Nothobranchius furzeri: one gene and its partners. The protein of the gene in region 3 interacts with the protein of the main gene of each other region in a biochemical or structural test. Links are inferred from orthologs where the notes say so. Each region holds a gene or a part of one and is shown on either strand. Other genes may lie near its edges.

Evidence for each region. The genes of interacting proteins can lie anywhere in the genome.
Region 1: the proteins of ntrk2a (region 3) and ptpn1 form a complex in vitro, tested with the Homo sapiens proteins (2 studies listed by BioGRID, with this or other methods). The link is inferred for Nothobranchius furzeri from reciprocal best matches to the Homo sapiens genes NTRK2 and PTPN1.
Region 2: the proteins of ntrk2a (region 3) and bdnf form a complex in vitro, tested with the Homo sapiens proteins (3 studies listed by BioGRID). The link is inferred for Nothobranchius furzeri from reciprocal best matches to the Homo sapiens genes NTRK2 and BDNF.

The regions. Positions count from the first base shown.
Region 1 is NC_091755.1:52,053,225-52,057,055, reverse strand, and holds the end of ptpn1 (tyrosine-protein phosphatase non-receptor type 1), read right to left. Parts: coding exon 3,691-3,831; intron 3,589-3,690; coding exon 3,427-3,588; intron 3,340-3,426; coding exon 3,203-3,339; intron 1,008-3,202; coding exon 749-1,007; 3' UTR 629-748; downstream 1-628. UniProt on the Homo sapiens protein: Tyrosine-protein phosphatase which acts as a regulator of endoplasmic reticulum unfolded protein response. Mediates dephosphorylation of EIF2AK3/PERK; inactivating the protein kinase activity of EIF2AK3/PERK.
Region 2 is NC_091749.1:64,456,922-64,461,131, reverse strand, and holds the end of bdnf (brain-derived neurotrophic factor), read right to left. Parts: intron 1,680-4,210; coding exon 849-1,679; 3' UTR 629-848; downstream 1-628. UniProt on the Homo sapiens protein: Important signaling molecule that activates signaling cascades downstream of NTRK2. During development, promotes the survival and differentiation of selected neuronal populations of the peripheral and central nervous systems.
Region 3 is NC_091757.1:48,543,232-48,546,882, forward strand, and holds part of ntrk2a (BDNF/NT-3 growth factors receptor), read right to left. Parts: intron 3,433-3,651; coding exon 3,300-3,432; intron 3,118-3,299; coding exon 3,046-3,117; intron 1,492-3,045; coding exon 1,264-1,491; intron 1,069-1,263; coding exon 1,045-1,068; intron 581-1,044; coding exon 569-580; intron 1-568. UniProt on the Homo sapiens protein: Receptor tyrosine kinase involved in the development and the maturation of the central and the peripheral nervous systems through regulation of neuron survival, proliferation, migration, differentiation, and synapse formation and plasticity.

The DNA of each region.
Region 1 (3,831 bases), on a different chromosome or scaffold from region 3:
AGAGGACGCCGCTCTGTCCACATCTCACATTTTACTTCCTGTTAACGAGACATGGAGCAGGTTGAACAGGCGCGCGCACAGATACACAAATGTACAGATACACAGAAGACACACTCAACCGGCCAATCAGAGGCGACTAGTGTGGACAGATCACAGTTCCAAGCCCACATCTGCATGCAATCAGTGAGCATGAATTCACTTTTTTATTTCTATACACACTCCGCTTTAACCCCCCCCCCCCCTACTGGCGTGTTTTCTGACTGGCTTGTCAAAAATCAGGACTGAACATTTCAGACCCATCTGTGTTAGCAAGTGGGCTAAAAAATAAAACAAAAAGTTAAATCTTAATGAAAAAGAAAACAGAAAGTCACATTCAAAATTGTCATTTTGGTAAATAAGATGCATATAAAACGGGCAGACAGGGTTCTCATCCTGGTTCCCAGACCAGCAGCTTGGAGACAACCCCTCCCAACAGCCGCAGTCTGATGTACTTGACAGACACACACATAGACACACACGCACGTTTGGGTTGTGGCACCTGAAGAACTGAGGTCCTGAGCGTCTGTGATGGCGTACAGAAACGACGTTTGGGTAATTAGTGGCAGCTCCTCCTGCTGCAGCTATAAAAATAACAACAGGTCAACCTGAATAGAACAAAAGCTCACTGACAGAGTCAGAGCAGGCTGGTGAGGCAGCCAAGTCCACTTTGTGACACAGAACAAAAACAATCAGGAAGAGGAAAGAGACATCAGTGGAAATAGGCTCGATAAAAAATGTAAGCACTGAGGGTCACCGCTGTGCAGAGACACACGTTGACTAGGAAAGGGGACCAGGTCCCCGGCACAGGAGAGCTTTCCTTTGGCTGCTCCGCTGCCTTCGGCTCATCCTCCTCCTGCTGGGATGTGTTGGGAGCTGTGGAATGAGGTATTCCCACATGCCGGTCCGGCTGACCAGCCCTATCAGAAGGAGGCCTTGCAGCGGTTAAGATCCTCTGTCGCAGGTCTTCCCTGAATGAGGAAAAAGACAGATGGATGTCTCCCAGTTAGGTTTGGAGTTTAATGGATGCATCCATCAAGTCGTTTTACACAAAGAATAAAGTTTAAAGCAAACATTGATATGGATGTGTAAGCTAGTGAGTTGCGGTGGATGGCTGCTCATCCTGAGCCAGGTTCTGTTGAGGTTTCTTCCTGTTACAGGGAGTTTTCCTCTCCACCGTCGCTACATGCTTGCTTAGCATGAGGATTGTTGTAAAGTCAGTGACGATGCAATCCGCTGGGTTCCCTTATATAGGAAACTTTAAACGGCATTAGACTTTGGTGGTACTATGGTATTACTGTATACAGCTGGTGTTTAAAAAGAGCAACACTATCAGTGTTAATACGTCATGAACAAAATGTAGTGCATTTAGGAGATAAGGACTAAATATAAAAAAAATATTTGATGTGTAAAACTGACGTGTTGTTGAATTTTCATTTTTAGTTAAATTGTTTAATATGTTATAGTCGACTTTTGGAGACATTCCGTAAAGTTTATGAACATGACGTCATCATGTGACAGCGCGGAGGAGAGAGAGAGAGACGCACCTTAAGAGAGACAGGGAGAGAGATGGCAGGTCGTGCACCTACTGACTCGGTGTCAAAAATAAACACAACTTCTGCTGTTGGAAGTATTTTGGATTCCAAGCAAACGATAAAGGAGAGCCGGTGTTCCGTCAATCCACGTTTCCCTGTCAAAGAGTGTTCCTCGTGCAATAAAGAGGTGACAGCAAGAGATGCAGGTCCCGTCAGCACCGCAGATGAACTCTAGAGAGCTAAAATAACAGCCGGTTTGGAGCCTATTATTCACTTTTCTGGTAGAAATATGCTGCTAGTTTCTTCCCCAGAAGTTGTGACTGGCCCAAAAGCCTGTGTCTGTGCCACAAGCGCACCATCGGAGCAGGTTTTCAGCACCCCAGGCAAAGTTGTTGGTACAGAAGGTGCAATGTTGAATCTGGAAAAGTAAACGTGCAGGTTTTTCTGGCGAAAAATATTATAATGAGCAGCATTTTTTTAATTAAAATGTTAACATTATGCTTAATATGTTTGTTTTTTTTGGTGGCAATAGTGTTGAGATTCAGTTTCTGAACTGTTACAGTCCAAGCCAACACTTTGTTAATGCCACTTGAGTTTTAGGTCATAATTTTTAATTACTCATGGAAATACCGTACACTGTGGTAACACGTAGAGGAAGCTTAACGATATTGAAATTTGGATAACACCCAAGCCTAATTGCCATTATGAACTGAACCCAATTTTACCTTGTGAAGTGCCTTGAGACGATTGTTGTTGTGATTTGGCGCTATATAAATACACTTTTTTTTTTAGAAAAATGTTGTGCTAAAAGTCACGTTTCTGTTTCAGTATGGTGGGAAAAATGTTCTTTTCTAACCGGAGAGGAGAGGAGAGGCTTGCGTTGAACCATATAGGCAAAAATAAATAAATAAAAAATATCACATTGTGATTCTTTTCCAACTCTTGCGATAATGAAAAGTAGTGAAACCTTCAACAGATCACTTAAATAGCACTTTCAGTCGTGCTGCACTCCTGCCCTTTTTTGGATGAATAACCAGTCAGCCTTTTACGTTCCACGGGAGGTAAATTACATCCTTCCTTGTCAAATCGGAGTTTGTTTTGTCAGCATGATACCATCAGAACTGTAGACACAATAAACGCTTTTAGCTATATAACACAGAATATGTGTATTTTGCAACTGTTGCTGTGAAACTCGCACACAAGAATTTCACTCGCATGTACTGTACCAGTGTACCTGCACGTGTGACGTGACAATAAAAGTGATTTGATTTGAAATGCTAAATAATGTCCAGCTCAACGTCTGAAGCGTCCCATCACAGACGGAACACAGCCATCTTGAATAAAAAGATTTTACGTCCCCAAGAGTCAAATTAATGACTCCAATATATTAGTTAGTCCACAACAAGTGTCACGTCTACAGTCCAACATAATAGACCCCTGATGCGTTTCATCCTCATAGTAGCTTCAAACGTTTGATCAACATCTCACCTGATCCAACAGATGAAGGCCCCCCCATCACATCACATACCTACGTTGTGATGCTGACTATCAATCGAAGCACGGAGCAGCTCTATTAGGAACCACCCCCACCCCAATGCTCAGATAAGCCCGCAGATGATTGGGATGCTCACCTCAGGATGACCTCTTCTTTATCAGGGAAAAAAGGTGGCTGCACTTTGCCATTGTGAGGGTCTCTCGGAGGAGGAGGGGGAGGGGGAGGGGACTCCGGAGGATCATCTTCCTCGTTAGAGAGCTCTTTCCACGATTCCTTCAGAAGCAGAAAGCTTGTTTACTAAAAGGACTTCAGCAGAATGCACAGTCATAAAAAGCTCCGAAGAGGAGAGGAAGAACCTGCCTGGAGAGATTTATCTCCTTTGATGTACTTGGCACCTTCGATGACAGCCAGGTAAGAGAAGCGAAGCTGATCCGCAGTTTGGATCAAACCCATTCGATACTGCCGCATCTTCAGCAGCACATCGCGAATACGCACCGATGACGGGTCCTTACGAAGAGACATCTGAACACAAAGACAGCAGTCAGAGTGATTCTCCTCAGATAGGCGACTGCTTTGTTTGTGATTGTCTCACTGCATGCTGGAGTTTATACAAATTATACAAACCAACAAGAGGCAAGTGTCCACAAGGCAGAAGGTCCCAGAGCGTCCGATACCAGCGCTGCAGTGGACCACCACAGGTCCATGCTCTGAGTTCAGACAGCCTGACTCTCGCACCTTGAACAGAAAGTTGAGGAAGGAGGCGGG
Region 2 (4,210 bases), on a different chromosome or scaffold from region 3:
TGAGACTTTAACTCCGGACAAGCGGAGTCAGGCGGCCTAAAAATGCGTTGATTAAACTTTATCGACATGGATTTAGGTTTTTCAGTTGCCTATAGTCATTTTTATTTCTTCAAATATTTCAGTTTAATATTGCAAACAACTTCACAACATACAAAATGAATAATATTAACCCAGAAACATGTCAATGACTATATATATATATATATAAGCTCTTTAAATATATCTTATTCTCTGGTGGGGATAAAAAAATAAACAGCAAAGCTTTGACAACAGCACCTTGACATAGTATGTATTTCCAACATGACCTTGAGAAGTTTAGAACAGTAAACAGATAAATTACTCGAGAGGAGACGTCTTCTGTTGAATATGTAAACGGAATGTTGTTGTTTTTTCTTCTTTTTTTTTTGGTCAGCATATTTTCCTTTTTCCTTTATTTTTTTGGGGGAAGTTGAGAATTTCTCAATTCACAATTGAAGCAGCATGCAAGCCTTTGAAGATGGAACTGTCCTCTCGTTCCTTTGCCTGTTTCCTTTATTTTTTTCCTTCATTTTTTTTTGTAATTCTTGGCAACGTAAACAAATCACAATGTCTTGATTTATGTGTCATAGTAATTTAAACTGGGCGCAAATGACTGATCAGATTTTTTTAATTGTTTACAAGGTCATGAATATGTTCAATAAATAGACTGTAATATCACTTTACTGTAGAAACTTCATCTTTTTTTACATGCAGTCCATAAAATTTTTCATTTGACGGAATAATTTACCCTGTTATGTATATATACAAATAGATATTTTCTCTTTATTCTCTTTTTTAAACTCTTCAATAAAATCTATACATTTTATACACTATCTCCCTCTTTTAATGGTCAATGTGCATACACATGAAGTGTCTATCCTTATAAACCGCCAGCCAATCTTCTTTTTGCTATCCATGGTGAGCGCTCGCACGTAGGACTGGGTTGTCCTGCATTGGGAGTTATAATGCCGCTTGTCTATTCCTCTGCAGCCGTCCTTTGTGTACCCCATGGGGTTGCATTTGGTCTCATAAAAGTATTGCTTCAGCTGGCCATTGGGGACAGGGACCTTTTCCATGACGGTAACTGTCTGCCCGGACATGTCTATTGCCGTCTTTTTATCCACAGCTGTCACCCACTGGCTAATACTGTCACACACACTCAGCTCTCCACGCCGTGAGGGGTCGGAGTGTCGCCTCACCCTCATGGACATGTTTGCAGCATCCAGATAGTTTTTGTATTCCTCCAGAAGAAAGAGCAACGGCGGCTCCAAAGGCACTTGGTTGCTGATCATCACCCGCGAGTTGTACAGGTCGACATCCTTGTTCTCTGTGGTGACCACGGGCAACGGGCCCCCGCCTCCCTGGCTCTTGTCAGACCCCTGTCCCAGCTGTGCGGCCTCTCCCTCCACCTCCAGCAGCTCCTCGATCACCTGCTCGAACGTGTCTGTGAGCGAGGGCAGCTCGCCGTGCTGGCCCGGCCCGCCGCCACTCTGCAGAGTCCCGTGGCCTCGAGCGGTCGTCGCAGCAGCGCCCAAGTAGCCTTCCGTCCGATGGCCCCGAATGCCCGGGGCGTCTCTCAGGGGCGCAGCTCTCATGCAACTGAAGTATGAAATAACCATAGTAAGGAACAGGATGGTCATCACTCTTCTAACCTGGTGGAACTGGAGGGGGGAGATGGAGAGAAAAGAAGGAAGAGAAAGAAGAAGACGGTTAGTCAACGGGCATTTTAAACAAGTTGGCTCATCCTTAACCCACAATGCATCACGCAAGCCTCCGCTCCTCCTCGCCTTTTTCACTTTTTACGCCCACCGCTCTTTGTTTGCACACCAAATAAAACGAGAGCTTCTGAATAACCACAGCATGTTTTTGTCAAACTGATGTTGGCACCGTGTCGCCATCAGTGTTTTCAAATTGTTTGCAAACTGTGATCCATGTCAGGTCTGGCTTAGATTTCTATTTGTTGGCAGCAAAACACAAAAGCTGTGCTGGGCATCAGCGAGACTGCTTATTCCTAAAGATGAGATTACACACATGGACGCTGAAACGTCCTCACAGGCGTGCGATTATTCATGAACTGGTGTGTTGACAGTGTGTGCAGACACGTGCAGTTTTTTTAATGGCCAAACCCATCATTCGTCCTGCTCTGCGTTGCTGGCTGCATCTGGTTTTAAAAGCCCCAGGAATCAGGGCTGCGCTGACAGTTCGTTGTCATCGCAGAGTCAATCTCACGGTCTCCCTACATGCCCACAGATGATTCAGACCATGTTGGACAAAGTGCTGCAGCACGTGCAGAGGGTTGGGAAAACAGAAGGCACTGGGAAAAGTCAGGAAATGATTGATTTGTAACTGATACCATTATTGCAGTAGTCACTCGTATCACAGTTTCATGTTGAAGCTCCAACAGAAAGTTTAGATTTTTGTCCTTTTTTTCAAAAAAAGTCAGATAACAATAAAACGGACCAACAGTGAACTGGAAAACCAAAGAGTTCATTCCCCTCAGAAAGCTGTCAAAGTGACTTCTGAGTGGTAAATATTGCGTTTCCAGTGATGCTGGTAAACAGCAGCGCTGCAGTGTTGGTTATATGACCAACAAACTGGTCCGTGCTGCAGGACCGGTCCTCTCTCTGGACCTCGTGATCATGAATGGAGACCTGGGGGTCTGTTTGTTAAGAGAAGCTGTTTGCTTTTGGCAGGTGACCGGCAAGTGCAGAGCCAGATAAATTAACAGGATGTCACGAGGAAGCTGTATGACAAAAATGGATGCTTCATCCTTTTCCTGCACCGTGTCAAGCCCACACGGCTGAGGAGGGCAGCTCAGGAAACGAGCAGAGTGCTGCCAGGGTTAAAGAGAAAAGCTGCAGGGAGCCAGGTGTTGCTAAAAGGCTGAACATACGTCCTCATCGTTGCATCGCCTGGGCACATTTGCATCCCTTACCTCCGAGGAGCTCTAAGATTCACAAATCATTGAACTGGTGGACATCCAACAGCCAGAGACATAAAAGCAACCCTAGAGAAAAAAATCTAGATCTTGCTTTCCACGGGGGCTTATTTAAAAATAGCCCGGCTGAGGCTTTGACTGCAATCCGCATGTCCCGAACCTGATTCAGGAAAAAACGCCGAGCCAACACGCTCCTGTCTCCACTAAGGATGGGCACGAGGACCTTCTCCAGCAGGGAGGAGCGAAACCGCACCTTAAAAGCATTTGTTTCACTCTTAATTGGTATCTGGGGCTGGGGCTGCAATTAACCGACTCCACGGTGAGCGCCGTAGAGAGATCTCAGCTAAAAATAGACGTGCTGGGAGTCTCACAGTCTCAATTCAGAATATCACATCCTTCTTCTTAATGAGCCACTCACTCCCTGAGCTCAGTGACGCGCTATTCCAGAGTGTGTGAGTGCGTGTGTTAGAGGGAGGGCATGGGGAGGGGCTTGTGTGTGTGTGTGTGTGTGTGTGTTTCTATGAGAAGGGACGGAGGGTATTTTTCCTCTCACCAACTAAAACAACTATAAGGGCAAAGGCCAATGAAGAGCTCATTATCTAAATGATCCTTGAAGATGTTCGGTGAATCCCTCTCATCCCTCAGATGAGGTGTTGGTTCTTCAGTCATCCTTCCCAGCACAGACATCCATGTCGGTTTACGGGACGGAGGCCAGTCACGAGCTTTATGTGTAGGATGCATTTAGGCTGATATTATTATCTGCACCAATTGGTTCCACTTCCACATGAGGGAAGTGACGGCAGAGGGCTGATTACTGTTAGGCGTCAAACTTCATGCTGGAAATGGTGCAGACGAGGAGTGCTGCATCTTCCGTAACAGACCACAGGGGTAATGTTGCAGTAGCAGGGGGTGGGGAGAGCGCCGGCGTCATTTCGCAGCATAACAACCACAGATGACGTCTCTTCCAGGTCTCCAAAGGGGAGAGAGAGGATGGAGGGGAGGAGGTTGCCGGGGGTAATGCCACTCAACGGTGCGCAATTGCCTGCTGCTCCCCCGGGTACCCTCACACCGGGAACAACAGATGATTTTATTTCTATCTTTGTTATTTCCTGTTTCCATCAGGACAATCAATGTGGCTCATGCTCTCAATCAACATCCTGTTAAAACGCGATAAAACCAGTGAATCATTTCATCGCCGAGGGACCGGCGGAGAATCCGCGCCCCGCATCCACGCATGTGACAAATGCTTGGTTT
Region 3 (3,651 bases):
CGACCGATTGATTTGATTGGTCAAGAGACTTTCCAAGAGTGCTGATATTGGACTATAACAGCACTGGGACTGTTTACAAACAGTATCACTCCACTGTGCACAGGAGTTCTAACCGTTATTACAGAGCTTTGTAGAAAATGTTTGTGTTGCCTAGCAACAGCCTTGTCTGAGTCTCTGTTTCGTGTTGGAACTATTTGTGTTGGTGGACCCTGATAAATGGTTAAATAAATGAACAAAACATAATCTGTTGTTGCTTATTGTTTTTATAAAAATAAAATGAGCAGGTAGAACTGTAGTATAAAAGCAATATCACACTCGAGGTCATGCGTTGTTGCTGTTTATCTACGGCACACAGCCTGCGGCCTCATGCCTACGACTGAATCACACCAGTGCTGATATTCAGCAACAATGCACGCCCTCTCATGTGATATTTGCTTAAACATATTTTTGTTCCACTATACTTTTATTTCACGTTGGGAAATGTAGCAAAAGTTAACTAAATCGGTGGTGATTAGTCAATTAAGTCAGGCTGGTTTTAGGACTGAGTGAATAAAATATTTAGCTGTACCTGTTGGTATTTCTGTTGGAAGACGCGTTGGAGAAAGAGACAGAAAGACAAATTAGATTTCAAAAACAAACATGATAACCTCTTTCATTTGTAAACGTTTTACATGCGCTACTTGACATTTACCCCGTAAACCATGCCTGTTCTCTGAGCTAGTTTAAAACACACACACACACACCAAAAACATTACAAGATGGTGTCACACAAACCAACTAAGAACACAACATGCACAAGAGCTGAAAGAAAATCACAACATTGGAAACGTATTGCAATAAACAAATGAAACAAAAAGTTGCAAAGTTGTGTAGGACTGGAACGCACCATCACCACCTCCAGAGAAAAAAGAGAGAGAAAAAAAACATTTCTAAAACGTGATGCTGATCAATTCCTGTTCAACATAAAAACTGACACTGTGGTACTGTGGGAAATGTGAGCCTTTAGCTGTTTAACATTTGATAAAAAGAAAACATTTCACTCACCATAATAGATAGGAGTGTCAGTATCTACAAAAAGGGAACAAATCCGATTACTTTCCGGTGTCCATCATTCTGCAGGAGCAGTAGCTAGTTTTCTAACAGATTAACTTTCTGCTCTGAGTTGAAGCATTTTCTCTTCAGAAGGCAGCTGCATTTGCGTAAATGACAGGAGCTCAGTCACGTTATTGTGACAACAGAGAATGGAATATCCCAAATCCTCACCTCCCCAGGGCTGCAGCATGAAGTGAGCTGAAACCATCTTTTGGTCTGACCCATATTCGTTTGTAACCACCAGCGTGTACTGTCCGTTGTTGATGTGTGTTGGGCTGTCCAGCTGCAGACAGCCGTGGTATTCTCTCTCTGTGACGTCGTGGATCATGGTCATGATGTAGTCACCCTCCGTTACCTTTTCATCATCTCGATACCACTGAAAGTACGGTTGGGGGTTTGCTGGGAAACAATGTGAAAGAATAAATGAATGCCTAATTTGTATTTCCATCTCGGCACTGGTGCAGTTTCATCACATTGAAATTAGATGTTGAGCATACTTTTAAAGGGGAAATAGGCAGTGTTGGCTTGCTTTTAGCACCCCCTAGTGTCTGTTTGAAGAACAAAAAAACCTAAACCTATCACATCGATGTGCGTTCGTCTTTTAACACCTTTATCTAACAGCTGAAATGTCTCCCCAGCTTTCCTTAGTGAGGGATGAGTCATCACTAAATTAAACAAGTCAGCTGTGTTCATGATTTAAAACATGCTGGAAGCAGACTGCAGCTCCAGGTATGTCAGCTCAATTTTTTTTCTGTCCCAACTGAATAGCCTGCCAGCCGGAAGCTGCGAGTGAAATATTCTGGCCACAGGGGGCGATGAGGCCTGGGTGGCCAGGGGGGTGGGGAGGTGTTGCTGCTGGATTGTCGGACCGGGGGGTGGGGGTGGGGGGGGGGGGGGAGTGGGGGGGACTTTGGAGCACTGGCAGAAGTTATGAAACTCCATATCGTTAGATAAGCCACAACACTCACGCTCTTTAAAAAAATATGTAAATAAATGAAAAGATAGAAAACATATTTTTTTGTTATCTTTCCCAGGTACTGTGTGCCGACCTGTCATTGTTCTTAGTAGGGATGCACCGATACCTCTTTTTTCCAAACCGATACAATACCGATACTTGAATCTGAGTACTCGCCGATGCCAATTACCGATACCAATACTTCCACCACACAAAAAAATGCAATGATTTTATTTTCTTCTCTGCTTTCAACAGGAAAAGACTGTGAGGTAGATTAAAAGTAAAATATATGAATGGAAATCATCACAAAACTAAAATATTAGGTGAACAGAAATGACAAGTTACAGTGAAGCCATTTTCAAGCAACTGCATTGGTATCGGTTCCTGGTATCGGTTAACTTTTACCGATACCGATACTGGCATTGGTATTGGCATCGGCACAGATACCGATACCAGTATCGGTATCGGTGCATCCCTAGTTCTTAGACAGATCTTTTATTCTTTTGTATTAAAAAGTTTTACAGCGTGTTTGTTTAATTGTCTTAAATACTTCTTTGCAATTGATAAACTAGTTAGTTTTAAAGCTCTATAGAAGTTTTACAGAGATTTCATCAATGTACAATGTGCATGGTCATTCTGTGAACGTTTTTTTAACTGCTCTAGAAATAAAGATGATTGGACTCTGGAAAATGTCATGATTTTAATCTGCCTTTGTTCTTCGTTCATTTAAACTTGGAACTAATTACTGCTTGCTCCGTGATTCTGATGCTACGAAAAGGTACATTTTGGGTGCAAATTGTGCAAAAAGTAATGAGTGCTGTGCTTTGTTAGTGAATCTGGCCAGTGATGTTAACTTGATTTGCATTATATCTCAGCAGCAGTTGTCACTCTGTGCATTCATTGCATTCAATTATTTTAAATTTTTCACATTTTACCAACTAAATCATATGTGAATGAATATTAAAACATCAACAAATGAGAAAGTGTGCCTTTCATACCTGCCACGCTGAAGGGGATGCACCAGTGATGGTCGGGGATTGCATCACTCAGTTTTGTGATTTTTGGTGGAACTGAATGCATGAAGCAAAAAGTAGGTTTTTAGGAAAAAATGTGTTTAATTAAAGCAGAAAAAACATGATCAGACCAAAAGTGGAATTATTGCAGCTTGTAAAAATGTTTAAGTGGTGGGAAAAATATAACGGACACATTAAACTACTTTAAGTTAAAGCTGTTTAACAGAGTAAAAACATACAAAGTATGTCCAGCAGCAGAGAGGACTCCCTCTCTCCAACGATGTTTCCAGCTGTGCAGCTGATCTTGCGGTTGTGATCCAGTGATGACAGGTTGGACAGACGCAGCACTGAAATCTGACCTGATGTCTCAATCTGAGAGAAAAAAAAAGGCAATCTGTCAAGTCAATTTATCCTGAACCTCTAAAAGATGCTGAATTTAGTCATCATAGACCCAGACGAATGTTTGTGTCTTTAATGGTAACACAAGTTGGGGAAGCTGTTGCTTGAATGTTATGCTTTAATCATCAAAACTAAGTAAGTGTCCTAAGATTTATGCAAAGATAGGATTTTGTGAGAAAAATCAAATTTTAG